Rhinolophus ferrumequinum: one gene and its partners. The protein of the gene in region 2 interacts with the protein of the main gene of each other region in a pairwise test. Links are inferred from orthologs where the notes say so. Each region holds a gene or a part of one and is shown on either strand. Other genes may lie near its edges. The genes, in order: MAP1LC3A, KXD1, CCDC185 and C18H4orf46.

Evidence for each region.
Region 1: the proteins of KXD1 (region 2) and MAP1LC3A interact in binary tests that used the Homo sapiens proteins (3 or more experiments, as listed by UniProt). The two-hybrid records come from large-scale screens. The link is inferred for Rhinolophus ferrumequinum from reciprocal best matches to the Homo sapiens genes KXD1 and MAP1LC3A.
Region 3: the proteins of KXD1 (region 2) and CCDC185 interact in a two-hybrid assay, tested with the Homo sapiens proteins (2 studies listed by BioGRID and IntAct). The two-hybrid records come from large-scale screens. The link is inferred for Rhinolophus ferrumequinum from reciprocal best matches to the Homo sapiens genes KXD1 and CCDC185.
Region 4: the proteins of KXD1 (region 2) and C18H4orf46 interact in binary tests that used the Homo sapiens proteins (3 or more experiments, as listed by UniProt). The two-hybrid records come from large-scale screens. The link is inferred for Rhinolophus ferrumequinum from reciprocal best matches to the Homo sapiens genes KXD1 and C4orf46.

The regions. Positions count from the first base shown.
Region 1 is NC_046306.1:20,672,409-20,679,462, reverse strand, and holds MAP1LC3A (microtubule-associated proteins 1A/1B light chain 3A), read left to right. Parts: upstream 1-4,683; 5' UTR 4,684-5,119; coding exon 5,120-5,159; intron 5,160-5,426; coding exon 5,427-5,482; intron 5,483-5,566; coding exon 5,567-5,673; intron 5,674-5,941; coding exon 5,942-6,104; 3' UTR 6,105-6,537; downstream 6,538-7,054. Other genes in the region: PIGU (phosphatidylinositol glycan anchor biosynthesis class U protein), read right to left, coding at 7,023-7,054. UniProt on the Homo sapiens protein: Ubiquitin-like modifier involved in formation of autophagosomal vacuoles (autophagosomes). While LC3s are involved in elongation of the phagophore membrane, the GABARAP/GATE-16 subfamily is essential for a later stage in autophagosome maturation.
Region 2 is NC_046301.1:51,279,140-51,286,522, reverse strand, and holds the start of KXD1 (kxDL motif-containing protein 1), read right to left. Parts: upstream 3,022-7,383; 5' UTR 2,899-3,021; intron 2,887-2,898; exon of another isoform or gene 2,864-2,886; intron 2,750-2,863; exon of another isoform or gene 2,220-2,749; intron 369-2,219; 5' UTR 348-368; coding exon 247-347; intron 1-246.
Region 3 is NC_046310.1:12,729,206-12,735,732, reverse strand, and holds CCDC185 (coiled-coil domain-containing protein 185), read right to left. Parts: upstream 2,397-6,527; coding exon 507-2,396; downstream 1-506.
Region 4 is NC_046301.1:28,016,021-28,023,559, forward strand, and holds the start of C18H4orf46 (renal cancer differentiation gene 1 protein), read right to left. Parts: upstream 3,015-7,539; 5' UTR 2,751-3,014; coding exon 2,565-2,750; intron 1,024-2,564; coding exon 868-1,023; 3' UTR 1-867. Other genes in the region: ETFDH (electron transfer flavoprotein-ubiquinone oxidoreductase, mitochondrial), read left to right, coding at 3,461-3,494.

The DNA of each region.
Region 1 (7,054 bases), on a different chromosome or scaffold from region 2:
GGTGAGCTGGGCCATGAGTGAGCCCTTGACCTGAGCTGGCCCTCTTTCCCCAAACACTCCTCTCAGACCTGTAGTGACCAGCAGCAGTGCTTGGCCCAGACTCAGTCCCTGCGCATGGTCTGGAGGGGACACAGACCCTCTCAGATGGGCAGTGACTCCGAGAGATGACACGTGGAGGCCCAGAGCAGAGGTCCTCAGCCAACGAATCATTTCTGAGCACCTACCTACCATGTGCTGCACTCTGTGTAGGCGCTGGGGAACAGCAGGAGCCAAACATACAGGAAACACTGTCATTAAGGGGTGTGCATGTTAGCAGAAGGGAGAAATGAAATAATAGAAGGAGCAGCAGGGAGGCAGGTCCCACACACCTTGTGGGCCATTGTTTAGCCTTTGACTTGTGCTCTGAACGAGTGGGATGCAGGAACAGCATGATCCAGCAGGATCACTCGTCAGTGTAGTGAGACCAGACTGAAGCAGGCAAGGCCAAAGCAAGGAGACCAGTGAGGAGACGATGGTAATAATCCGGAGATGATGGTGACTTTGGCATGAGTGGCAGTGGTGGAAGTGGTGAGAAGGGATCAGATTCTGGAGATATTTGAATGTAGAACCAATAGTATTTGAGCATAGATTGGATGTGGAGGGCAGGGGTGAGGGAAAGAAAGGAGTCAAAGATGACAGATGGGGACAGGGAAAATTACAGTTGGCGCACATGTATGGGAGGAAGATCATGAGTTCATCTGGGGAGGTCAAGTTTGAGATGTTTGCTAGACTTTGAAGTAGAAACAAAGAGTAGGCCAGACCTTTAGATTCAGAAGAGAAGGGGGAGAGGAGGAAGCAGTCAGCAGAGAAACCAGAGGATTGAAGGAGAGGTGTTAGTCTGCTGACTGGTCGGGTAAGAGGAAGAGTGAGCACAGACTTTGAGATTTGGGGGATGGGCCCCTCCCCCACTGCAGCCTCAGCCCAGGGCTTAGTCTGACAAAAGAGAGGTGTAACCACTTCCCCAAGGCCATGGCCAGCCTAGTTCTTTCCATTGCTCTTATTGGCTCTTATTACACTTAGTCTCATGCAACTTTGTGTTTGTGAGATTTGTCCACTTTGACACACATATCTGTAGATCAAGAGTCAGCAAACTAAGGCCCTAGGGTCAAGTTTGTTTTAGCAAATAGCCACAGCCATGCCCACTCTGGTTGTCTAAGATTGCTTCCACACTCCAACAGGACTGAGTGGTTACCAGGGCCACATGGCTGGCAAAGCCAAAAATATTTATTGTCTTGTCTTTTAAAGGGAAAGTTTGCTGACTCCTTCTCTTCCTCTTTCACTATAACAGTGTGTTGTTCTGTTATAGAAATACACCACGATATTTAACTGGACATTTAGGCGGTCGCAATTTTTTGCTATTATGAAAATGCTCCACTAAACATACCTGTGTTTCTTTGGGCTCACGTGCACTCGAAAGTAGAATCCCTGGTTTGTAAAATATGGGCATCTTCAGTTCTGATAGATTTTGCCAAATTGTTCTCCAGGGTGGCTGAAAAGATTTATACTCCCATAAGCAGCGTAAAAAGTTCCCATATTCCTCTAAAACTTGGTATAAAACTAATAAAACTAACTTTATTAGTTGGCAATCTTTTATATATATATCTACACATATATATATTCTTTTATATATATGTGTAGATATATATTTTATATATATATAAAAGAATATATATATATGAGAATATATGTATATGAGTATATATACATATATATGTGTGTGTGTATATATATATATATATATGTATATATATATATGAGAACACTGTGTTTCTCTAGGGTCTATCAGCTCCAAGTCATTGTCCTTCAATCTAGGGCGCAGCTCAGCTCCGAGGCCAGTCGCTATTTTCAGTCTTTAGTTGCAGGGGGTGCAGCCCCCTCATCCCATGAGGGAATTGAATCTGCAACCTTGTTGAGAGCTCACAGTCTAACCAACTGAGCCATCCGGCCGTCCTACCGTTTCCCCAAAAATAAGACCTAGCCGGACAATTAGCTCTAATGAGTCTTTTGGAGCAAAAATTAATATAAGACTTGGTCTTATAGTAAAATAAGGGTCTTTTATTATGTTAGATAAGATCTGATCTTATAGTAAAATATAATTTTACTTATAGTAAAATAAGACTGGGTCTTATCTAACATAATTAAAGACCCTTATTTTACTATAATATAAGACCAAGTCTTATATTAATTTTTGCTCCAAAAGACGCATTAGAACTGATTGTCTGGCTAGGTCTTATTTTCGGTATGAAACACGGTGTTGGCAATCTTTTATTGTTTGTAGATTCCTTGGGTTATTCTGGCTGTGAATGATAGTTTTGCTCTTTTTGCTCTTTTTTTAGTCTTGGTGCTCTGGCTGGGACCTCCATATAATACTGCATTTTGTTTGATGAAAAAATTTTAAATTTTGTTCCTGGCTTTGAAGGGAACAATGCTTAACATTTTACCATATACTGTGGTATTTTACCATTAAGTATAATGTTTGCTCCAAGTTTGGTTATTTTTATTTATTTATTTTTTTGGGAGAACACTTAGGAAACCATTTGGACTAGTTGGCTTTTTGAGGTATATGGCTACTCAGTTTGCCTATTTCTTTTTCATTTAGTCTTGGCAAATTATCTTTTTTGAGAAAATTGTTATTTCATCTAAATTTTAAACTTATTGGCATGAAGTTTATATAATCTTATTTTTGTCATTTCTGATATATATAGTTATGTCCTTTTGAAATTAATTTTATTTTATTGATCTTTTCAAAGATCTAGCTTTGTTTTGTGGTCCATACTAGTGTTTGTTTTCTATTTCATCAATTTCTCTTCTTCATTATTATCATCCTTAACTTTCTTTGTGTTTACATTGTTATTCCTTTTTAAAATTCTTTGACACTGCTAATAAATTTCCTGTATTCTTACCTAATATAACAAGGCTATAAATCTTCTAAATGCTGCTTTTAGCTGCTCGGAGTTTTTATTTTATTCTCATTTTTGGTTTGATCTAAATAATTTTCATTTCTGTATGATTTCATCTTTGAGTAGTAAGTTTTTTAGAAGAATGTTTAAATGTCCAAACATTTGGAGTCTACTTGGCTCATGTCTGTGGTCAGGGAATATGGTCTATATGAAACCGATTAGTTGATATCTGTTGAGAAATTTCTTGGAGTCTCCTAGTTAGGTTTTTTTTTTTTTTTTTGTAAATGTTTCTTGTGTGCTGGAAAGTAACATATTGGGTTCAGGGTTCTATCAGGGTCCATTGATCAGGACTATTGATAGTATTAAAATCGTCTATATTCTTTTTTCGACTGTTTGGTCTTCAGTTACTGAAAGAGGTCTTACTTAAATCTCCTACCCTGCTGGAGGATTTGGCCATTTTTCCTTGTATCTGGTTACTTTTGCTTTATACATTTTCAATACTTTTTTTAAACTTCTAACATACAAGTTCAGAATTGTTGTATTTTCCTAGAAAATTGTTCTTTTAACCATTTTGTGGTGACCCTCTTTATCCCTAAGCACATCTTTTTCCTTACAGCCTATTTGGTCTGATTTTCTTATATCTTTTGGTTAGTTTTTCTGAAGTATACCTTTTGCCACCTTTTCACTGTTGGTGCCCTAAGGTTTTAAATGTCCTCTTGTAAACAGCCTAGAGCTGCATTTTATTTTTCTTGGCCAATCTGATCATCTGTTTTAATAGGTGAATATAAAACATTTTCTACCTCTGATTATGCGCCATTTATAATCCTTTCTTTTTACTTTGCCTCCTTTTTCTTTTTTTCTGCCTTCCATATTTTAATACCCTTTACTAACTTTTTTCCTGCATTGGCAGTTATACTTTCTATTCTTTTAGTGATTTCTCTTAAATGTCTGAAATACATATTTGACTTTACAAAGCTAGACAATTATCATTAACTTCCTCCTCCTCTCCTATAAATCAAGCTTCTTAGAATGCTGAACTCTGGTTACCCTCTCCAGTCTTACCTGGCCCTGTGTTCAGTGCTCCTTGTTTTGCACTCCACAAATTAATCATCACTAGTCATGTTCCAATTAAGTGCTTGTTTAGATGACTTACATGTTTACCAATTTAATTGCTCACCATTTTGCCATCTAATTTCTTGTCTTTAGAGTTCTGCAAATTCACTAAAAAGTACCTAAATGCTTTTATTTTTATTTATCCTGCTCTGGATTTTATGTGAGGATCCTGGTCTTTAATTTTGGAAGCTCTTCAGGAACTGCCTCTCTTATATTCTTTCCTCTCTGGAACTCTAACTGGACATGGGCATTCTTCTCACTTTACCATTCCAGTCACTTCCTCTTTTATACTCCGTCCCATCACCTTTTTTATCTATTTAATTGCTTCTGATTATCCTCCAATTCAGAGAGATTCTCTTCTGCTGTGTCTAATCTGCTTTCTTGCCTCATTCTTTGCGATGTGAATTTCAATAGTTCTATTTTTCAATTCTAGAAATTCCTTTTTTAAACCTCTATGTTCCTTTTTAGGGCCTTGCTCTTTCATGTTTTAATTTCCCCACCCCACCTTTTTCTTTCTCTAACCATAAGCTTCATGAAGGCGAGGAGGACTTTTGGTTCACTGCTGTCATTCTCAGCACTCGTACTGTCTTGGAACTGACAGACTCGAGTGTGCGCTGTCACATGACAGTGACAGCAGGAATAGAGGATGCTGAGCCGCAGTCTGGCCTGCGAGTCCAGGCTTTCCAGGCTCTGCTCAGCCGGGGCCAGGGGGAGAGAGACCCGCGCAGGCCATGACATCATGGGACTGTGACGTGCTCTGGGAGCCCCCGCCCTTCATAGTTAGTGCGCGCTGGGAATCCAGGCTCTCTGCGCCCTGACATCACGGTCCGGGCGGGCGGGTTTTGCGTCGGCCCAATGGGAGTGGCGCGCCGGCCTCCCCTTTAAGGAATGTTGTGACCTGACGTCACCCGGGCGAGTTACCTCCCCGAGTCTCCGCCGCCGGGCTCAGCGTGAGCCCCGGAGCCCTTGAGCGCGAGGTACAGAGCCCCCGGAACCCCTGAACCGCAGCCACATCCCCGCGCCGTGCGCCCCGGAGCCTCGGCCTGTGCGCCCGCCGGGCCCGCGAGATGCCCTCGGACCGGCCTTTCAAGCAGCGGCGGAGCTTCGGTGAGGCCCGGCGGGCAATCAGCGACAGTGTGTGTGGGGGGGTGGGGGGCGCGACCGACAGGGCTGCCGCAGGTGACGTCAGCCCGGTGACGTCAGGCTCCAGCTGGACCCCAGGCTGGCAGGCAGGTTCAGGCCTGGGCCCCGGCCTGCCCGACGGCTCCAGGGGTGGGGGCTTTGGGGAGGTAGGGCCGGAGGGGCCACACCTCTGGGACAGGCGGAGTGAGCCGCGAAGAGGGCCCAGCTTCACTGCCCGACCTCCTTCCGCAGCCGACCGCTGTAAGGAGGTGCAGCAGATCCGCGACCAGCACCCCAGCAAGATCCCGGTGAGTCCCTCCGCCCCCTAAGCTCCCCGCCCGGCCCCAGGCCCCGCCCCGGGCTCACGCGTTGCCGCCCCACACGGTTCCCAGGTAATCATTGAGCGCTACAAGGGTGAGAAGCAGCTGCCTGTCCTGGACAAGACCAAGTTCCTGGTCCCGGACCATGTCAATATGAGCGAGTTGGTCAAGATAATCCGGTGCGTGGGCAGTACTGTCAGGGGGGACTCGGGTCCTGCTGGGGTCAAGCAGTGGGCCAGGTCCTGAGAAGGGCTCGGGTGGGGCAGGGCATGGGGCGTTGGGTACCTGTTCTGGGGAGGGTGGGAAAGGTCAAGGTCAGGGCTGGGGTCAGCGTCAGGTGAGAGCCTCTAGATGGGGCTGGGATGCGTGGGAATCAGAGGCTGGGCATCATTTGGGGGAAATCTGAGCTGCGCCCACCCAGCAGCCAGGGCCTCCTGTCCACCGCAGGCGCCGCCTGCAGCTGAACCCCACGCAGGCCTTCTTCCTGCTGGTGAACCAGCACAGCATGGTGAGCGTGTCCACGCCCATCGCGGACATCTATGAGCAGGAGAAGGATGACGATGGCTTCCTCTACATGGTCTACGCCTCCCAGGAAACCTTCGGCTTCTGAGCCAGCAGTAGGGGGGGCTGGCCTGGGAGTGGGGGGCCCTGTCAGGCTCTGCCCAGGGAGCTCCTGGCTCCTGCACTGAGCTGCCTCTGCCTCTTAGGTCGGGGCAGGGATGCCACCCCTTGGGGGCACCAACCACTCCATCTCTGCCCTGGGTAGATCCTGAGCCAGTCATGTTAGGGTTGTCCCTCTGGGTGCTGGCGGGTGGGGAGCAGCCCCCAGCACCCCTGCTCTGTCTGGTTCGTTTTTTTGTTTGTTTTTTTTTTAGGCCCCTGCCTGTCTGTCCACCTGCCCCTCCCCCACTCGAGGCGCTGTCCCCAGCCTGGACCCACCCACCCCTGAAGGTCTGGCCCCTGGCTCACCTGGCCTTCACATGGTGTATGAATCTGTGGGCATTGTCCTTCTGCAGAATAAAGATTGCTCAGGCCTGCCTGGCCCTTTGCCTCCAGCTGCTTGGGAGGGGTGGGGAGGACTCTTGGTGGGGCTGTCTCATGCTATTCTTGGCTCGCCAGTGCACATACTTGGATCCTGTGGATTTAGGGTTCATTCTGGAAACCCACATCCTTGTGAAGTGTACCAATGCAGTATTAGGGGCCAAGCCCACGTCTTCATAACAAAAACCATTTATTAAGTACCCACAACCTAACAAACCCTTCTCACCCTTCTTCCCTTTTCCTGCCTGGGAGGGGGCTCCTTGGTGTGCAGAGAGACAAAAGGGGGGTCCAAGTGGAGGTGCTCCTGGCAGCCAAGGTGCCACAGACCTTGCTGCTAGCCTTGGCTCCTCTTTGGTGCCAGGATTCGTGACACTGGACTTGAACCTCTTCTAAGGACTTGTCTGCTGGCACCTCCGGCTCGAGGGCTTGGCCCAGCTTCTGGCCTTCCCACCCCATGAAGTCCATGCAGCCTTGTGCCCAGCCAGGCCTATTTGAGCACAAGCATGGCCTCGGTGCCGT
Region 2 (7,383 bases):
GCTGATGCATCTCTACCCTCCCCCGCCCCCCCAAGCCTTCTGCAGCTGTGAAACCATCTCAAAGCCCTGCTTCCTATGCCAAGGGCTCGCCTCCAGGCCAGGAAGGAATTTACTTAGGAGCTGGCCAGCAAATTTGCTCATTTCCTTCATTTTATCACCAGTGAGGGGGCGGGCTGGGCAACAATGCTGGCTGGCAAGTGGATTCCTTCCCACGCCTGGAGCCCAGGCTGCTTGGCCACCACTCACATGTTCTTCTGGGCCAGGATGATGGCATTGACGTCATCCACATTCACCATGCTCAGGATGCGGCTGCAGAAGACCCTCGAGGCCGAGGCCGGGGGGTCCATGTCTTCCTCCTCCGCCGCTGCCTGAAACGGGAAGAAAATCTGCAGTCTGCACCAGGCACATGGGTGGGTGGGGGGTTGGACAGGAGGGGCCGGGAACCCCACAGGCTGCCTGGAAGTGGGTCGGTCATGCCACCTCAGCCTCAGCTTTGTCATCCCAGGAATTCAGGGGTATTTCGAGAACTCCAGAAGGTCACATTTATAACTTGCACCCCAGCACATCGGAATCCCATCTCCCCTCCCCAGCACCCATTCTTCATATGCCCAGGGCCACTGGCACCGTCCACCTGCACAGATCTAGCTGCCCACCTCCTCCCACACCCCCTTGCCTTTGCCCATTCCCAGCTCAGAGCCTACTGTCCCCCCGGCGGAACATGCACCACTGTGCCGTCGGATCACCCTCACCTCGTGAGATCCGTGAGGACTATCCCTACCTTGGTCGTTCTCATCACCTTGTTTTAGTTGCTTCCCTGGCTCACCTCTGCCTGAAATTCCCTTAGTTAACAGTTGACCTGTTTGCCTGTCACCCCCACAGCACTGCCAGCTCCAAAAGAGTACAGGCATGTGTCTCCCTCGCTCACTGCTGTCTCCAGAGCCCAGCCCAGAACCTGGCTCACAGCAAGGAATCACCAGAACTTCCTTTGTCAGAGGCAAACAGGACTTTCAAACTCAGCTGTAATGCTGAACTTTTAACAGCAAATAAAGCCAAGAATTTCAGGCACTTGCAGCCAGTCTGTGGACCTCAGCAACCCAGAGAGCTGTGGGGCTCTCAGCTTCCCTAGCATGTAGATGACCGTCCCAGTGGGTTGGGCTTCCTGGATCAGGCCAGGGCAAGAAAGGCCACAGCTTTAGCGCTGACCCTACTGGTGGGGAGCTTCAGGAAAAACCCAGAATCCTGACATAGCTTGGTTCTGGAGCCCACATATTTAATGGCCGACAGAAAGGCCCACTTGCCATTGGTTAAGATTCACACACAGGATCAGTAAGGGCTTTCAGAGCCCACTTAATCCACCCTCCTCTTTATTTAGCACCTACTGTAAGCTAAACAAGGTACCAACTTTATACATAGGAACTGTTACCCTTATTTGTATGTGAGAAAACAAGCTCAGAGACTGAGGCACTGAGCTATCGTCACGTAGCCAGTGAACCTGAGTCACAAATATCCACGGTCCGCAGGATCCACAAAGGTGTGACCCTGTACAGATGTTCAGTATCCACCCATGATAGCACAGCTGCTTCTTACAGCAGCTGCTTCCTGCCAGACTTCTGATTGCTTCCAGGAAAAATACCCAGAAATGTGCATCCCCCCCTCCCCCGTGAAATCACCTCATTTGCAAATTTTAGCAAATAACCCTCTTTTCCCCCAAACACCATGGGGCCAAGAGTATTTATGCCATGAATTTGGCTTAGTGCTTTGCAGCCCCTACATGCCTTCTGGAAATAAGCTGCCACACCTGGTGAAATCCTCTCGCCCTGCCAATTAGTACTATTTTTTGAGCTCCTATGTGCCAGGTACAGACATTCACAGTCTCCACATTTCCAAAAAAGTGTGATCACGTATAAAGAGGCTACTTGGGCTCAAAGGGCAGTCCCTTGGTGGGAAGCCCACAACTAAAGCCTGGCAGGCACAAGATTTGGACCTGCAGGAAACGGTTCTGCTTCAAAGTTGGGTTCTTTCCTGTCTCTGGCTCCCATATGTGAGATTCAAGGCACATCCTTCCACTGCCAGCTCCTTCTCTGAGGAAAGCCTTCCCTAACAGCTATTGTGGACCACGTAAGGGTGGAAATAACCCAGCAAGCGCTCTGGTATCTGTTCTTTTTATGAGGGAAACACGCTGAGAGGGAGGCTGTGTGACTTTGGGAGAGTCACCTCACCTTTCTGAACCAGTTTTCTCATCCAGAAAATGGGAATAACAATCTCACAGTCCTGTTTGTGGGGACTGAAACCAACGGTGATAAGCTTAATTCCGAGCAGGCTGTTTCTCCAAGGTGAGTGTTGAAGACGTTTTAAGTTGGGGCGCGGGAATCAGCATTTTGACGAGACCCTCTAAGGTGTTTCCAAGAACATGAGCAAATTTAATCCCCAACCACGCCTATGAGGCAAACACTCTCATCTCGGAGGAGAACTAAGGCTCACAGGGGCCGGCTCAATTGCCCAAGGTAAAACGGCCAGGCGGAGAGGCAACGCGATTCCACCCAGGGCATTTAACAATTCAATTTGGTGGCCCAAGCTTAGCAAAACCCTGGAGTGGGAGCGAGGTTCGCATATCCCCTCACACCCCGCCCCTGCCAAGCGCAGAAACTGAAGCCCAACCAGGGCAACGCCCGGTTCTAGGTGACACAGGCGGCCCCAACTCCCGCACCCTGGACCTGGATCAACTGAGCAGACAGGGAAACTGAGGCCTGTGCGCAGGAGGGGTGCCCAGATGTGGCCAAAAGCGCGCCCCACCCCACGACAGCCCCAGGGCCGCGCTCGAACCGGCCCGGCTCCCCGGCGGCCCCGGCAGCCCCAGCCCCACCCCAAACTCGGCCCCGGCGTCGGCGGCAGCGGCACCTGCACATCTGGCGGCCTTGCTCGCGCTTCCGGGATGGCGCCCGCGCCGCCCTGATGTCACCACGCACCATGCGCACGTGGCGGCGACGTGCCCAGGGCCGATTTGCGTGCGTGGAGGCGCGGCAGGAAGGGGGAGGGTTTAGTCTCTTCGCTTGTGCGTCACAACACAAAGCCAATCAAGCAGTCACTCTCTCGCCTACGTCGCTTCCAAAGCCCGAGCTTTCCAGGCTGGGAATCAAATTCACCGGGTTCAGGAATCCGTGTTCTGCTGTTGCTGACTTTTTTCTGGTCCATTACCATCCAGGATCCCACGTTGCATTTAATTACATCTCCTTAGCCTCCTCCACTCTGTGACAGTTCCTCAGTCTTTTCCTACTCTTTCATGACCTTAATACTTCTGAAGATTTCTGGTTTTGTAGAAAACCCATCAATATGGGTTTAATCCAGTGTTTCCTCCGGATTAGACTGCAGTTAAGGAATTTGGGCAGGAATCCCATAGAAGCGATGCTGTGTCCTCAATGCGTTATATTGAGGCATGCGATGTTGACTGACGACTTGCTTAAGACAGCGTCTTGACGGTTTCTCAACTACGAAGTCACTGTTTTCACCTTTCTAATTAATAAGTATCTTATGGGGAGCTACTTAAGAGACAATGCAAATACTTTTTTTTTTTTAACATTTTAAAAAGCAGTTGACACCCACAAGTTTTAGCATCCATTCATGGCTCTTGTCAACAATTTTTACTTTTTTCTATTTATTAATTTAATTATTAATTGGAATTTATGCTAAACAAGAGCTGTCCACTCTCCAATTATGTATTTATTCACATTTATATTGCTCTGAACTCATGAGAATTTTATTCTGTTATTTATCTTGCTGCCCCTTTAAGTGAATCACCTACGTTCTTTAATATGTCTTCCATCTTTCTCTAAGAAAGTAAGAAAGTAAGTACTTTCTTACTTTTGGCACAAGATTTTCCATGTTTGCTTTGGCATATCCTTGGAATCAGCAGTTTCTCCAAGGACACTGGTTCCTGTTCTTGGAGAATGGTATTTAAAAACCAAGGTCTGGGTGCTGGGTGTGCTCATTGCTTAACCACGCTCTCAGCTGTCAGAGTTAGCAAATACATAGTATGTCTACTAACCTATGCATACACACATCTATATTTACTCCTACATCTGTCACCTTGGCTATATACTGAAAACCATAAACAAAACGGGGCAATTACAAAATAGTAATTGCTTAATAAATATTAGCAATTCATTATCATTAGTTATGGAGGTCTTATAATGTGTGTATGTTATACGTCTAATTTTTCTGGGTCTCAGTTTGTTAACTGTGAGCCTGGGTGATCACCACAGTTGCCTTTTAAGGTTCTTGAAAGCTTGGGAGATAAACACATACCATGCTCTGGGGCACATGAAAGACTCTTTAAGAGCTCTGGAATTGGATATATCTGAGTTCTAATTCCAGTTCTGTCACATCTTAGCTGGATGGCTTTGGGCAAGTGGCTTAACCTTATGAAATCAGGCAGGTGAGTTCTTTACACGTCTTGGCCCACTGTAAGCCCTTGGTAAACTGTATTATTACCCGCATGTTTTGCTGCCTTAATTCACTGAAAAGTTAATACAGACCAGGACTCTTAAACACTTAGTTCAAAAGTCTAAAAAACTTGTCAGTAACCCTCTAGCCACCCCCTCTGGATTTGGCCCATATTCTGGGAATCCAGAGAGTACTCAGTCCCTGCCTAGCCCTGAAGGATGGAGGGAGACAGAGTCTGACTCAGACACTCCCAACCCTGAGTGGAACACTGCTGGGTTAGAGGGAGGAGAGACTCAAAGCTGGAGGAACCTTAAGAGTGGGGGTATGAGAACTCCTTTTAAGGGCAAAGAAGAAAGTATGTCTGGATGGGGTTTTGAGGTAGGATTAGGAGTTTTCTAGGTGCTGACTTTCATTCAAGGCTGAGGGAATCACAGGAGCAAAGACAGGGTGGTGGGAAAACATTTAGTCTGGACTTGATCTTTTTAAGAACTGTAGAGCTCAGTGAGCCAGGTAGCAGCCAGTGCTGAGAGGGGAGCACTGGTGGGGGCTGCTGGGGAAAGTGGAACCATGACTCTGTCTGCAGGCTGCAGCAGAAGAGGCCCAGGCTGAAGAAATCAAGCTTTTCAATGGGTCCCTTGGGCTCTGTTAGAGGCCAGGAAACATTTACGAGGGTCCCGGAAGAGGTGGGGGCTGCACATTGAGGCCAAAAGGGACTTGGCTGGCCCCAAATGTTTTGTGCACAGTGGAGTAGAGACAAGAAAAATATTTTCCTCCTTTGTGTGTTTGAGGGAGAGGGTGGGAAATGATGTGACTGCTCAGTTGCCCCAGTGATGGGGACATTGGTGGTGGGGGAGGCCTAAGTCTGGGCACTGGAAACCTTTCTCTGCCACTTTTTCCAATTTTATTTCTTACATAGCATTCATCATAGCTGCAGTTAGATACTTATCTGCATTATTGTTTATGCAGTATCCAGCTCCCTGGCTGGAATAGAAGCTCAATGGGGTAAGATACCAGGCCCACTGTGCCCTTCATCACTGTGACCTTGAACAAGTTAATTAACTTCTCTGTGCCTCAATTTCCCCATCTGCAGAATAAGGATAATAAGAGTCTTACCAAAATACATACATCGAATTCTAAAGAAGGCAAGAGAGAGAAAAGGAGCATAGAGAAGGTATTACAGAGAAAAAACACGAGAGGGCAGATTTAAGTCCAAATATGTGTGTAATTACATTAAATGTGGAGACCAAATGCCCCAATTAAAAGATAAAGATGGGCAGGATGGATCAAAAAACAAAACCTGATTCTATTCTGCTTACAAGAGGCACATATACAACATAAGGGTACCGAAAGGTGGAAGATAAGGGGTGGAAAAGAATGGAAACTTTAAAAGATAAACCAAGAGAATAGGTGTGCAATCTTAATATCAAAGTCCACTCAAAAGCCAGAAGCATGGAGATAAAGAGGGGCATGTCACAACAATCACAAGTTCTGTTCACCAGGAAGATGTAACGATTGCAACTCTGTACGTAGCCAATGATGTGGATTCCAAATATCAGAGTATTTGTCTCATAAGGCTGATGGGAGGATTAAATACACAGTTTTTGCCTACACCTGTGACACCGGAGTCTCAGCTGTCACCGTGTTTCCCTGAAAAGACCTAGCTGGACAATCAGCTCTAATGCGTCTTTTGGAGCAAAATTTAGTGTAAGATTCGGTCTTATTTTACTATAAGACCCAGTCTTATGTAATATAAGATATATAATATATAATACTATACTATACTATAATGTAATACTGGGTCTTACGTAATATTATATAAGACCGGAGCTTATATTAATTTTTGCTCCAAAAGACGCATTAGAACTGATGGTCCGGCTAGGTCTTATTTTCGGGGAAACACGATATTATTGTTATAATTGTTGATGTTATTAGTTTATATTTATTTTAGTTGTTTATGTATAGTATCTTTTATTACAATTCCTCTAGCCCATGAAAGAGGTAAGGCTGAATGGGTGCAGATAAAGACATTGAAGATCAGAGATGAACAGGTAATAGTCCAAGTCCCTCAGAACTGGGATTGACCCAGGGTTTGATATTCTTCCTAGGCAATTCCTCATATATCCTCACTGCTTTCCCATTTGTTTTGGCTGATGAGCCTGCTTCCTTCCTTCCACAATGATTTCCCCAAGTCCTCCCACCCTCCACCTTTTGTGCTCTGCACTGTGCAGGCCTCAGGACTGAAACAGTGAGAAACAACGGACCCGTTACAGACTTTGAGGGTCTCCTAGACTAGTGGGCAGAGGTAAGGCAAGTAATGGCACGGATAAAAGTCAGTGAGTTATGAAGTGGAGGTTCATGGGTCTAGGAACAGCCAATTGGGGCACCTGGCCTTGCCTTGGGGAGGTCTGGGAGGTCTTCCTGTAGGAGATGACCTCCGAGCACTGATCTAACAAGTTAGTTCCCTCCAAAAACTAGTTACCTCCTCCAGTGTTAGCTACCTCCAAAGCCAGTTTCATTCATTTATTCAATTATTAGTTCATTTACTGAACTCCCATAGGTGCTAGGCATCATTCAAGGAGGTGTGTGTGTGGGGAACAAATCAAGCAAAATTCCTTTTAGGTAGGAGCAGAGTTGGGAAGAAAGGAGAAGAAGCAAAAGAACAAACAAGATTATTCTGGATGGTGGTAACTGCTGGAAAAAAAATAGAGCCAGGGAAGAATAATTGCCCCTCCTTTCAAAACAAGATCCATAATAACCCATCTAATCGAGGCAGCCACCTTCTCCAGGGACCATGGGCACTTTATCACTCTCTGGCACAAGGTACAGGGAGGAGTAACTACCCCCAGCGGCCCTGCTCGCTCAGTAGCTCACCTAGCCATTATTGAGCTCCTCCTGTATGCGTCAGGCAAGTTCCCGGAGATTAGACAGACCACACAGGGGAGA
Region 3 (6,527 bases), on a different chromosome or scaffold from region 2:
TTTTCAGAGCCTTTGAACTTTTCATGTTTAAAGGGGGGACGCAGTATGCAGGGATCCCAAATCTACATGCTTTTTCTTTTTCTTCTTCTTGGAGATTTCTTATGACTGGTACTTCACACTTCACCCTTTCGTAAATTCTGGGAGAGGAAAAAACCATGACATAGAACAATCTCTCCTACTGTAGATTTTTCTCTGGTTCCTCCAAGATGTGCCCGATATGTGCTTCTCAGATTACTTGAGAGCTAAATGCATCGTTTCTATTTAAGTCAACATTCACAAAGGCAAGTAATTTTCCTAAAATTCCCAAACGTCTATCCCTCACCCTCTCAACGACCCAAGTGAATGGACAAACTAGTTCACGAGAGGAAATTGTAGCTATTTTATAATTTTTTTACTATCAATGCTCCCTTATAATCAGATTATAAATGGAATCACATCACCAGATGTCTTTCCAGCCGCCTGGGCGGTGAGCTCTCACTCTCTCTCTCTCTCTCTCTGTCAGGTTCTCAGTAGCCCCCTCTCTGCTGACCCACACGGAGCTGGGCCTCCCGGTCCAGCTGAGCAAAGAGTCTGTTGGCTCCCACGTTGTCCCTCCTGGAGGCCCTGGAAATCTTCTGGAATTCCTCGAAGTTGGCATCTTTTTCTCGGGCGAGCTCTTCCATCTGCTCCTTTTTCCTAATGGCTTCCTTGATGCCCTCCACGTGGCACTTTTCCTCCTTCTCGGCTTTCAGCTTCAGGATGTGATGGTTCTTCTCCCGCAGGATGTTGAGCTCTTGCATGTGCTGTTCCTGGTCCCTGAGGTTCTTGTGGACGTTGCTCCTGTCCTGCTGGAACTGCTGGTCCGCCAGCTCCACCAACAGCTGCTTGTGCACCTTCCTCTGCTCTGCCAGCTGCTCCGCACACCACTTGACTTGCTGGAATTGCTCCTCCTCCATCCGAGCCTTCTCCCTCAGCTCGCGGTGACGCTCCCGAATCAGGCCCTGGTGGATCTCTTGGGACCACTGGGAACTCTGTTCCAGGGACAGCTTCCTGAGGAGTTCCTCAGCCTTGGCCTGGCAGTCCATGAGGACCTTCCGGGCCTGGTAATTGACTAGGGAGCTGAGATTGGCTTCCTGGACCTTCCTCTGGCCCCCGGTGGGGTGCAGCTGCTTCTTGTCACAGGCCTGCTCCGGCTTCTTCTGCACCTCCAGGCTGCTCTGCTCCCGCTGGTGCCGCACCACCTTCTCTTCCTGCTCTTGCTGGCGCTGGACCTGGCAATGCTTCCTGTGATCAGCCTCGGGGCGGGCCCTTTCCAGCTTCTCCTGGCGCTGGGTCTCCGGGCCCTCTGATTGCGCCTTCCACTGGTTCTCTTGCTGGACCATGTTCTTGGCGTGGCCGTCCTGTTTCCGTCCAACGTGCTGCTCCCCGCTCAGGCGAGTCTTGCGCTGCTCCTTCTGCAGCCACTGCTCCCGGCTCTGCTGCAGTAGCAGCTTGCGCTCCCTTTCCAGTGTCATCTGGACCTTCTGGTCCGAGCGCTTCAGCTCCTCCCAGGCTGCAGCCGCCTGCTGCTGCAGCTCCCGCATCCTCTGGGCCTTCTTGAGACGGGTGAGCACCAGCGCCACAATCTTCTGGTCCCTGGAAGACGTTACCGCCTCTTCCAGCTTGTTCTTGAGGATCTGGGTGCGCTGGCTCTGCCTCTCCTTTCTGGAGACTGAGGGCTGGGAGTACTGGCCGGCTAATAACTCCATGCCATCACTACTGTCCCTCCTCTGGGTGGACACGCAAGCGAACGCTTGAGAGGGCGCAGACGACTTCTCTGTGGGGACTGAGGACAGGGAACAGCAATCTTGACCTCTGTAGACCGGCACTGCCCATGGGTCTCCACTCTGTCCCTTTTCTGCCCTGAAAGTTCCACTCGGGGGCGTGTAAGCACCCGTGGAATACGGTGGGGGCGAATCTCCCTGGGCTGGGGGGTAGTGTTGGCAGGACTGGGGCCGTTGGGGTGACAGCTGGGGCTGCTGCGGCCAGGCTGGCCTGCACCTACTTCTCCCCAGAGGGTGGGGCTGGGTCCTTGGCTCCCCGCAGGCATCTTCCAGGCGCCGGCTGCGGGTCCCGCGCTTCCTGGTGCGGTCTGGGGGCTTCCGGGCCATCTCTCTCAGGCAATGGCTTTCCCGCAGTGAGTTGTGGGGTGACTGGCGCCGGCGAGGCCGCAGGGTGGGCGAGCAGTGCGGGGGTGACAAGGCCGCGGCAACCTCACTCCCCTCGTCCGGAGTCCCAGCCCAGGAGCCCTGCGCCGGCTGGGTCTGGGGTCTGGGTCCACGCAGCCGCGAGGAGGAGGACGCGCGCCCTCCGCCGAGCGGCGGAGGCTCCCAGAGGTCTGGGTAGGGCAGCGAGGAGAAGTTGCCTAAGCCCTTCATGTTCCCTCCCTGCGCGCGCAGCGTATGAGCCAGGGTGCTGCGGCCTCCAGGGGGTGCTGCTGAGACCCGCCCCCGGCCCTCTGGGGCAGGGATCCCTGGCGCCTGTGACGCTAGGGCCACTTCACAATGCCCCAGTCGCCAGGGTCCTGCAGCCCTCGGCCCTCTCCCACCCCTGCCTCCCTAGCATTCGTACTGCGATGGGGGCAGTGGGAGGGGTAGAAGGCCGGGGGAAGGTGCAGGGTAGAGGGGAGCTGTAGGAAATCAGGGGTGACCCTAAGAGCTGAGGGTGTGTAGTGAACCCCCACCAGCATTTCAGGCAGGAATTTGATCTCACATCTATACACTTTAAAGCAGCAGGCTTTTAAAAGGACCTGAGTGAAGCTGTCACCCCAGAATGTAATGTGGAGGGAAGGATCGAGGGGGTCGGGGCGGGGGGTGGAATCCCCTGAGCCAGGCTTAGCCTCAGTCACCACCCCTTCTTCTGTGTACCTATATGGAGTCTGCAAAGTACGCGGCTGTGGAAGCACATTAATATGTACAACCTTTTTGCCTGCTTAAGTTAGCAAATCCAAAGTGTGTTTTGGTTACTTTTTAAACTTTAGAACAGGAAAAAGACTTGTCCATTTTCCCCTAACGTGACAATTCCTGCTTTTGTCAAAATGTGAATGTCGTGTGTACATTTCTGAAAAAAAAAATATTTTTGACCCTTTTCTCTAATTTCATGAGATTATTTTTCCTTGTTGAGGTACCCTAGGCTATTGGGAAAAAAACGATTTGGTCACGCAAACATGAGTTTGAATGACCTCTGCCACTTTCCACCCGTGTGGTCTTGGGCAAGTTACCTGCCTTTCCTGACCCTCAAATTCTGGAAAAGTGGAATGGACGAAGGGCTGATGATAACACACGGCATTGCAGAGCCGTCCTGAGGGTCAGACGAAATTATGTGTCAAGAGCTTAGCACCTTAATGCATTAAACAAATATTTTGATGTCCTGCTAGGCTTCAGTTAAAAATTGTAAGACTTAATATATGGGTTAACGAAAGTTTCTGTGGATTCCTAGCTTAAGAAAAAAAGAATGGGCTTAAGGTGCTACTAAAACAGTTTAGGTGAAGGGTAATGTGCTAGCGAGGGGCGGCCCCCAGGCTCTTGCACGTTCATCCTGCACTGTGGATCTTGGTTAAGTCACTTCCCTTCTCTGAGGTGCAACGCGGGAACAGTTTTGGTTGACATTCTTCAAAGAGGGTGACTCCTTAAAGAAGAAAAATGAAGATTGACTCACCCCTGTCTTCTTTACCCACATCTACTTGGAGTTTCACAGCAACTGCAGCTGTGTGGGCCCAACAGAATTGACGTTTGCTTCAGACGGGTCTGAGAGTTGGCCATGTTAACTGATTTCCCCAAAGAGCACAATGTCACTGGCGGGAGTTTTGACTTCAGATTCACTTCTTTTTCCATGACATCGTGCTGCCTCTCAGGAAATGCAGTTTGAATGGATGCATGTGTTATAGATCAAATGTTTGTGTCCCCCCAAATTCATATGTTGAAGCCCCAGCAGCCCTTAGCGTGTTGGTATTTGGAGGCAGGGCCTTTGCTAGGTAATTAGGTTTAGATGGGATTAATGTCCAAGGGACCAAAGCTTCCTCTCTCTCCTCATAAGGACACAGCCAGAAGGTGGCTGTCTGTAATCTGGGAAGCAGGCCCTTACCAGAATGGATGGAGGCAGCACCTTGATCTCAGACTTCCCCGCCTCCAGACTGTGAGAAATAAACATCTGTTGTTGAAGCCGCTCAGTCTGGGGTGTTTTGTTATAGCAGCCTGAGCTGCCTAAGATGACATGCTTTTAAGAAAATTATGATGAGATATACACCAGAGTGTCATGGTGGCCAGGTCCTTGAAGCCAGGTGGTAGCAGCCTGGACTAGAGGAGCTGAGCCCTCCTCTTCCAGGAGCCCTCTCTGCCTGGGTGGGATCTCCGATGTGGTCATTAGCACGTTTATAGCTGAGGATAAGTTGTTTCTACCCTAGATTTCTTTTTTATTGGGGGGGAAGGGCGTTCAGCTTTATTGAGGTATAATTGACACAGTTGTAAGATACTTAAAATGTACAATGTGGTGGTTTTATAGATGTATACATTGTGATAGGCTCCCTCCCATCCAGGTAATTGACATATCCAGCCCGCTGGTCGCTCTTTACCTTCACAGCCCCTACTTTCCAACGACCATGAGGCTGAGAGTCGGTAAGGCTGTGTTTTGTATGAGTGAATACTAATATCTTGAGGGATAGAACAGGCTGTGTTCTGGTCCTTTCTCCTTTTTAACTTCTACCCTAGATTTCTATAAGCGCCACTCAGACCATTGTTAGAGAAGTTATCTGTGGTTGTCATTTGTATAAGGAGGCAACTTCTAAAAAAATTAAATCAAATTCGAAACGGAATCATTTCACTTTAAGCTAGGAAATATGGAGGCATGAACTGAATTGTGCTGATACCTGAGTGTCATCTCTCTTGGTTACGGCTCTGCCAAGCATTTTGCAAAACCAAATGGGGCTCTGGCCAGTGCCAGGCTATTTCTTGTCACAGAGAAGCAGTGTCGTGTGGGAGAAAGCATAGCTGTGTGAGAGCTTGCACGTGTAGACTGGGTGGAGTGAGAGTAGCAGAGGACCAAGACATAATTCGGGATAGAGTAGCCGTTGTGGGAGGGGAGAGTTTCACGAAAAAGCGAAAAAGGAAGGTGGGCTGGACCCTGATGCCATAGCGCGTTGACTGCCAGGCTGCACGTTCCAGCTTTCCAGGGAGCTCCGGGATTCCTTACAGCTGCCATGGGTCCCATAGGATGTGGGGCTTGAGAACTTCAGGGCAGATTCTCAGGCCTCTGTCCCTGCTTCTGCCCTGACCCTCTGTCCCCACAGCAGCTCAGATTTTAGGTTTTGTATCCTGGGGCTCTTGGTTTCATCACATTGAAAAAATGTAAGGTTCTGCTTATAAAAAGCATTGAAAACCACTGTGCAGATGGCAGTGAAAAGTCAGTAAAAGTCTTGAAACCAAAAAAATTACCCAATTGGGTCTATATTTTAGAAATCTTACCCTGGCAGCAGTGTTGAGGATAAACTGGGGAGTAAGGGGAGGGGAATTGGAGACAGTGGCCAGTTAGATGGTTGATTCACTAATCTGGGTGAGCCAGCAGGAAGTATAAACCTGGACCGTGGCAGGGGGACAGGAAGGGATGGATTCAAGGGACTGTTCGGAGATCGAGGGACCATGATCTGAAGATGAGTTCCATCTGGAGAAAGAGGGTTTCTCACCTGGGTGCCTGGGCAGATGGTGAGTGCCAGTGACAAGAGGTCTCCTTCTAGGAGACCTTGAAAAGAGTGATCTTGGAAATCAGGTGAAAAAAGATGTAGTAATAAGGGAACCCCCACACAAAACAGCAAACAGAATATGTGGAGGAGACTGACAAACGGGAAAGAGACAGCTTTTCTCTGAGGGGCCTGGGGGGGAAGTGGGAGGGTGGTTGGAGCAGGGCAGCGGGAGCAGGGCCAACCTTCTAACCAGCATCTTTAGCATCTGACCCCTGGGAGGATGACAATCCCAGAAGCCACTGTCAGCTCTTGCAGTAGGCAGATGAAAGAGATGTTTTGCAAATGTTAAGCTGCCAAGCAGTCCCTTGATACTAAGAACCACCAGCCTCCTTTTTATTTGGCAGAAAAATCCTCAGTGTAGTTCACTGGCGGCCCCAGAATTTGGGACTTCTGCCAAATGAAGACCTGGGCCTCGTTTCTTCATTTGCTGGAAGCTTGGAAAACACGGCAAAATGTGCTCTGCTTCCACAATTCAAATTAACTTATGGAACAGAACTGGGCTCTGGGCCCTTCCTCAGAACGGCTGTTAGTAGTTACTGTAGTGGCTTCAGATTCGATCTCTTAGCAAAGCTTCTAGTTCTTGGATGGGTCAAAAGGGGGAAATCAGCGAGAGCTACTCTGTGCGATACAGCAGCCAGCGGCCACATTGAATGCGGATAGTCCCAATTGACATGTGCTATCGAGATAAAATACACCCTGGATTTCAAAAATTTACTATGGAAAAAAGTAAAATATGTCAATGCTTTTCTTTTTTATATTAGTTATTTGTCAAGAT
Region 4 (7,539 bases), about 23 Mb from region 2:
GTAATAGTACAGAACTATAATAGTGATAAAGCACTTTAAAGACAGCAATCAAAAATACAACAACATCAAATGCAAGAAATATTATCTGTAGAAGCAGTTAACCTTAGAAATAAATAAGGAAAAAATATGCATTCTTTCCAGACATGCTTTCATTTTCTGAAGTAAAAGCTTGTTTTAAAAAGCCTCATAAGAGGGCAAAAAATGTTTAAATTTTTAAAAGCTGTCATCAGTTAAAGTTCAAATCCCTGTAAAAAAAAAGGGAACATTTTCCTTCAAGTCAACGAGGTTCTGATTCAAATATTTTTTTAGAGAAACAATTATAACCTTCATGCTAAAAATGGGGAAAAATAACAGATTTTAATTGTTGTTACCTCTTTTACTCAACAAACGCTTAGTGACTGTTGTGTGATACCGTTCTAGGAGCTGGGGATATGGAAGTAAGTAAGATACAATGATTGGTTCCAGGGAACTTAGCCTAATGGAGCTGGATCTGACATTACTAACCTTAAAGTTCCCTTTCTTGGTCTGTAAAATGAAGCTTAACTTCAAACTCTGCCATTCTTGGTATCTTCCTGCAGATCAAATAGAATCATGGTTTACCAAGTTTGCTACTGGTAGTAACACTGTGGTATTATATCTACTGATGAAATTAACTTTCGTAAAAGACTCTATGAAAGTTTAGAGGACAGAAAGTATTAAGATAAATACCCGCCAGCCTCAAAAATAACATCAGTGTTCTACTTTCACAAAAGTGAAGAAAACCAAGAAAAATTTCATTTTGAGTATACAGAACTACTGGAGATTATCCTACTATACATATGGTACATGTGCAAATATAAATGAAGTATGAGTTATTACACAGCCTAATCAGTTGTCAGTCTTCAAAGAATCATAGCCTTCTTTCAAGAGGTCCCGCCATGTTTTAAGGAAACGTGCATTTTCTGTACATTTGAAGGCAAGCTCTTCCACTTGAGCTGATACAGCAGATGTGGCTTCAAGAAGTTTGGTTAACGAAAATGCTGCCTGAAATTTAAAAAAAAAAAAAAAGTCAAACAATAGAAGTCTATTTTTTAAATTCTCATTTTATTAGTCTAAAAATAGCTTAAAACCTCAAATCCAATGTCCAAGTTATTTTCTTTAAAAGTAAAAAATCTTCAAACTAAAACACCAGCCCTTTCAGGGTACCCAAGAAATTCTTTAATATGAAGTAAGCTTTGAGGAAATATGTCTGCTTGAAAGATATCCTTTATGTATGAAACATGACAAGTCAGGTTTTTGCTTTTTGTTTTAAATTGAAAATACACTGGAGTCTCATTTAGTTCAACAAGATGACTTGGACCCCTTGAGACTAAGTACCAGAAGTATCTGAAAGGCTTCATCAGAAACAACTCTTGATATTTGGGTAACAAGGGCATTGTTCACTATTTCTACCTGTGAATACTTTGGACCATGAAAATGTACAGACCAAAGAACAGATACTCTGAGCTGACAAATAACAACAAAATCAAAACACATGCAGAAAATATCCAACTCTTGATGGAAAACTCACTTCTTAGTTAAATGTTTTCTTCACCTACGATATAAAAATAATTGTTCCTAGGTAACACATCAGCACTCCATTCTACATATTCACTTGAGACCAGTCTTGTGTTGTTCAGCAAAATTAGAAGCTGTATCAGCACTTTATTCATCTTAAAAAAAAAAAAAAACGAATACTTGTTGAGCCATGACATAATCGAGCTCTTTCCTGAGTTTCCACTTTGCACAGGAGGGGTCTATTCCACAAAGTTCTCCCAGGAAGATTACACCCTACGGCGTATCACTTGACCTACTCAAGAGACCTTAAATACTGTGACCCCCTCCGGTGGTGTGTGTGTTAGCGTTGCAGATGAGTGTGTGTACGCGCGCGTGCGCGCCAGTTTCTGGGACTCCTAGATTTAACAGAAAGCAACCAGACCAGGCGTTCTAACCACCATAGGAAGGGATATGTGACTACACGGTTAATGAAACCAATCTGGGCTACAGGGGCAGCGACCAACCCCTCCAAACTGGATGCAGCGCCAAAACAGGCCTGAAACTGGCAATAGGCCTGAGACTGGCTCTGGGCAGGTGACCAACTAGAACCGCAAGCTTTTACGTCCCACCGAGAGAAATCACAGCCTGATTTGAAGCACCCCCAGACAGCAAGGGCGAAGGATGAGAGGGCAGACAGAGCCAGCACAAGTCCGCTCTGTAGAGACCGCTCTGAGTGGTCTCGGGTTACAGCCGCTGATTGAAACCAGAAGGCGAGGCAAAAAGAAAACAGTGAGGGATGGGGCGGGTAGAGGCATAACCCCTAATTCCGCAACACTAAATATAAAGGCAGAATCCCGCCGGACGGGGCCTCCGGGCGCAGGCTTCCCCCACCCCACTCCCCAGCCCACACACTCAGGGGAGAGAAGCGCCAGACGCGCCAGGTCGGGTGTGCGGACACCTTGTCCGTCCCTCCCCGGCCCCACCGCAGTCTGTCTGCCAACAAGCACCGAGTGGGGACGCGGGCCCGGGACCTGTCGGGCGATACTCACGTCTCCGATCTGCAGCTCCACTTCCTCCAGCAGGTCCACCGTTGGGCCGATGCTCCTGCTCGGAACTGGCCAGTCTAAACGTACTGGGACACCAGGGGAAGACGCTGCAGAGGCATCTGAATACGAGGGAGAGAGGGAAGGCGGCGGGGGCTGCGAAGAAACCTGCACCTCCTCAGGGTCGGCCATGGAGAAGGGCAGGGACGGTGGAATCCGAACTTAGCTGCCGAACCGACACCAACTGCCTTTCAACCGCTGGCGCCCAAAGCCCAGAGGCCCTGCCTCCTCCCACCCGAAGTCCCGCCCCGTCTCCTTGTGGATGTCTGCCCAATGCCCCTAAAACGGTTCATTTTTCCGGGACAGCCAATCAAATGTCGGTCAATTTACCTTGGGCAGCTCACTGCTCCTGCGCAAAGCTCCGTGCCTTGCTTAGAAGGCACTTCAGCAGAAGACTACAACTCCCAGGATGCCGTACGTGTCACTCCGTCTCTCACTGTTTTCCGGTCGTGCGCGTTGTACTATGGGATTTGAGGGTTCTTCCCACCCTACTCTGTCGTCTTCAGCACGTCTGGGCGAGACGGAGGCGGAGACGAATCCGCAACCTGAAGCCGCGGGCCGCTCTGGAACTTGGAATCCCTTTCCTTTTCCTCTTCGGGTACATGACCCGGAAGCTTCTGCTGGTCATTGCGTCATGCGCGGCGCCGACGCAGAGCGAGAAAGAGGCGGTCACGCTGTGAGTCAAAGTGGTAGGGTGAACTGGGAGGTAAACTTCAGCAGAAGGGTTGGTGCTTCCTGGCGGGTGATGGTGCCCCCGGAGGCATAGAGGTCCCGCGCCCGGGGCGAGCCACAGGCTGTCTTCTTTCAGCTGTGTCCGACCGGGAGTCCTGGTTACAGTGAACATGTTGGTGCCGCTAGCCAAGCTGTCCTGCCCGGGTGAGCGGGAACTTCGGGGAGGGATAAGTGGAGGAAGGTCGAGTGATTAGGGAGAAACGGACAGGGTCACACCTGGGGGCTGTGGACACCTTTCTCCTTTCATCTCTCATTTCGTCGGCTTTCTCATGCTAAACTAGGACAAAGGTCATATTGTCTGCGCCTGGTGGTGGACCCTAGATTCCTTCCCATGGGATTCGTTGTCCTAAAGGGAAAAAATTGACAACTAGGCTAAAGGTCATGAGCGGAGGAAAGTTAATCAACACGGCCTCCGGGTGGACTCCTGAGCTGAATGGTGCCAAATCCTGGTCCTGACACTTATCCCAGCGCTCAGGTATTGTCTGTTACATTGTTAGAAACGGATAAAATAATCTTTGCACGGTTTTTCTCCGTGGTCCTGACCTGAGTTGCATGGCCTTTACAGCCATGCTAGCCGGTTCTTAAGAATTTGAAGTCTGATCTGTCACATCATAATTAACATTCATATGCTTCCCCAGTCACCAGATTATATCTGGAGCCAGAGATTTTTCTACATTGTCTAAAATTAACTCTACGGGCTTAATCATGTTATGGGTGCACCTAGAGCCATCACGATGACTTGTGAAAATACCACATTAACTCTCCTTTCATTTAAAAAAAAAAGAATGATGCAGTTAGATGGTGTTTTGTTTTACTTGAAAACAAAACAAAGCTCTTAAATTCGAAAAAAAATTCACTACAGGGTGAAGAAAAAGTTCACTACAGTTGAATTCTCTCACAAATGGCTTTATTTTTTATCTTTAATTTTTGGTTATGGAATAAACAAGTATATATATATATATATATGGCAAATTTAAGGATATCATTATGTAAATTTCATTAAAGTAGAATTTTGTCAGATTTGTTCACCATATATTAAATAAATAGAATTTTGTTTGAAGTTCCTGTTAACTTGTGCATGTATTACTAATGTATAGAAATGCCTTTGTTTGTTTGTTTGTTTGTTTGTTTGTTTGTTTTTGCACTATCAGAGTAGTCAGATGCCATCTGCCCTACTGCCTAATTTAATTGAAGCCATTCTTGGGCCAAGTGCTAACAAAATTCCACCAAAATTACCATTTCCATTTTACTTGGATGCTTAAATCATTGCCATTTTCATAGCTTACTGTTAGTACTACTGGCAAGGATGAGATAGACATAAATGTGCTGTCAGTGCGACTTTGATTTGGTGATGTGATAAGTTCAATGGACTTTGACCTCACTTCTCTACCAAAATTCAGCCAAGGTGTGTTAAGTGTTCAGATCTTTAAAGTGAAATGTCAGATTTGTTTTCAGAAAAGATTAAAGGTCGTGACTTTTTTTTTTTTTACCCCCTAGAGGAAATCAGACTACTCAGTTCCAAATATTCTCAAAAAAAACACTAGCTGTATAAGCAATAGAATTACAGATTTGTCTGATACCAAATCATCCGTTTTCAGAAGCAAATGATAACTTCTATACACTAAAACTACAATGCATCATACATCTTAAAATATTTTAATAAAAATATAAATATATAATGAACATTTGTTACAACTGGTGAGTCCATATTGATGCATTATTATTAATAATAGTTTATATTAGAGTTCACTGGATGTGTTGTACAGTCTATGGGTTTTGACAAATGTATAAAGACATGTATCTACCATTAATTACATTGTCATACAGAATTGTTTCACGGCCCACAAATTCCTATGTTTGATTTATTCATCCCTTCCTCTCTCTTCCTGAACCTCTGGCAACCACTGATCTTTTTACTGTCTCTATAATTTTGCCTGTTCCAGAAAGTCATATAGTTGGAATCATATAGTATAGTATGTAGCCTTTTCAGATTGGCTTCTTTCAATATGAATTTAAGTTTCCTCCATATCTTTTCCTGGCAACTAGCTCGTGTCTTTTTAGTAATAAAGAATATTCCATTGTATGGATGCACCACAGCCTTTTTATCCATTCATCTGTTGAAGGCCATCTTCCAAGTTTTGACAATTATGGATAAAGCTGCTGTAAACATTCACATGAAGTTTTTTTTAATCCTATATTTTCTATCTTTTATTATAATATGAACACTTAACATGAGATATACCCTCTTGAAATTTTTTTAAATGGATATAATACCTTATTATTGACCATAAGTCCAATGTTGTGTAGCAGATTTCCAGAGCTTATTCATCTTGTTTGACAGCAGGTTTTTGGGTGGATTAATTTTCCACTCATTTGGGTAAATACCAAGTAGAGCAATTGCTGGATCATATGTAAGAGCATGTTTAGCTTTATAAGACACTGCCAAACTGTCTGCCAGAGTAGCTGTACTATTTTGCGTTCCTGCCAGCAATACTTGGGAGTCTCTTACTCCCCATTCTCGTCAGCATTTGGCGTTGTCTGTGTTTTGAATTTTGACCATTCTAATAGGTGTATGGTGGTATCTCTGATTTGCTATTCCCTAATAATATAAGATGTTCAGTATCTTTTCATATGCTTATTTTCCACCTGTATATCTGTATTTCTTTGGTTAGGTATCTGTCCAGATCTTTTGCCCATTTTTTAAATTGAGTTTATTTTTTACTTGAGTTTTATGAGTTCTTTGTATATTTTGGATACCAGCTGTTTATCAGCTTTGTGTTTTGTGATGTTTTCTCCCAGTCTGGCTTATCTTTTTATTCCCTCATGTTGGCCTTTCAATGCTTCTGTTTTATAACTCTGGCTTGCCTTTTCACAGAGAATGACACTAAAAAAGCACTAGCGTATTTTATAATACCACGGTGAATCATAAGTGAGTACTATAATGAAGGAAAGTATAGAAAGGACTATATAATATTCAGTCACCAAATATTTATACCTATATATAGGCTAACACTGGGATTTAGCATACAACAAGGAAAAGAAAAATACTATAGGACTATGCTATGTACTGGGGAATACAGAAAACTAAGCAATTTATGTTTACATCTTTTATTGTTCATAGTTGTTTAAAATTTTTAATCAAATGATTTTTGAGACTTTTACCATACTTAGAAAAAACCTTTCCAAATCCAAGATTCTAAAAAAAAAAATTACCAGTGTTTTCCCCATAACCGTTTGTGTGTGTGACTAAATGCCTTTTTAAATAACAGTTTTATTGAGATTTAAGTTACATACCATACCTTTTACACCAGGTAAAGTGTACAATTCAGTGGTTTTTAGTATATTCACAGAGTTTTGCAACCATCACCCCAGTCTATTTTAGAACATTTTCATCACCCCGGAAAGAAACCCCATACCCATGAGTCACTCCCCAACCCCTCCAGCCCTAGGCAACAACTAGTCTATTTTCTGTCGCTATAGATTAGTTTGTTCTGGATGTTTCATATACATAAAATCATGTAATATGTGTGTTTTTTATGGTTGGCTTCTTTCACTTAGGTTTTTAAGGATCATCTATGTTGTAGCATATATGACTATTTTATTGCTGAGTGCTATTTCATTGTATGGATATATCACTTTTCATTGATTAATTCACTAATGGACATTTGGGTTTCCACTTTTTGACTGTTATGAATAATGCAGCTACGGACATTTATTTGTATACAAGTTTTTGTGTGGACATATATTTTTATCTTAAGTATATACCTAGGAGTGAATCGTGGAAACTCTTTATCTTTAACATTTTGAAGAACTGCCAGACTGTTTTCCAAAGTGGCTGCACCATTTACCATTCCCACCAGCGGTACATGAGGGTTCCAACTGCCCATATGCTCATCACCACTTGTTATTATTTGCCTTATTGATTCTAGCCATCCTAGTGGATGGAAAGTGGTATCTCACTGTGGTTTTAATTTGTGTTTCCCTGATGGTTAATGATGCCTAGCATCTTTTCATGTGCTTATTGGCCATTTGTATTATCTTCTTTGGAGAAATGTCTGTTTAGCTCCTTTACCTGATTTTATTTGGGTTATTTGTCTTTTTTTATTATTAGAAATAAGTTCTTTATATATGCTAGGTACAAATTTATTTTCAGACGTATGATTTGCAAATATATTCTCCCATTCCATGG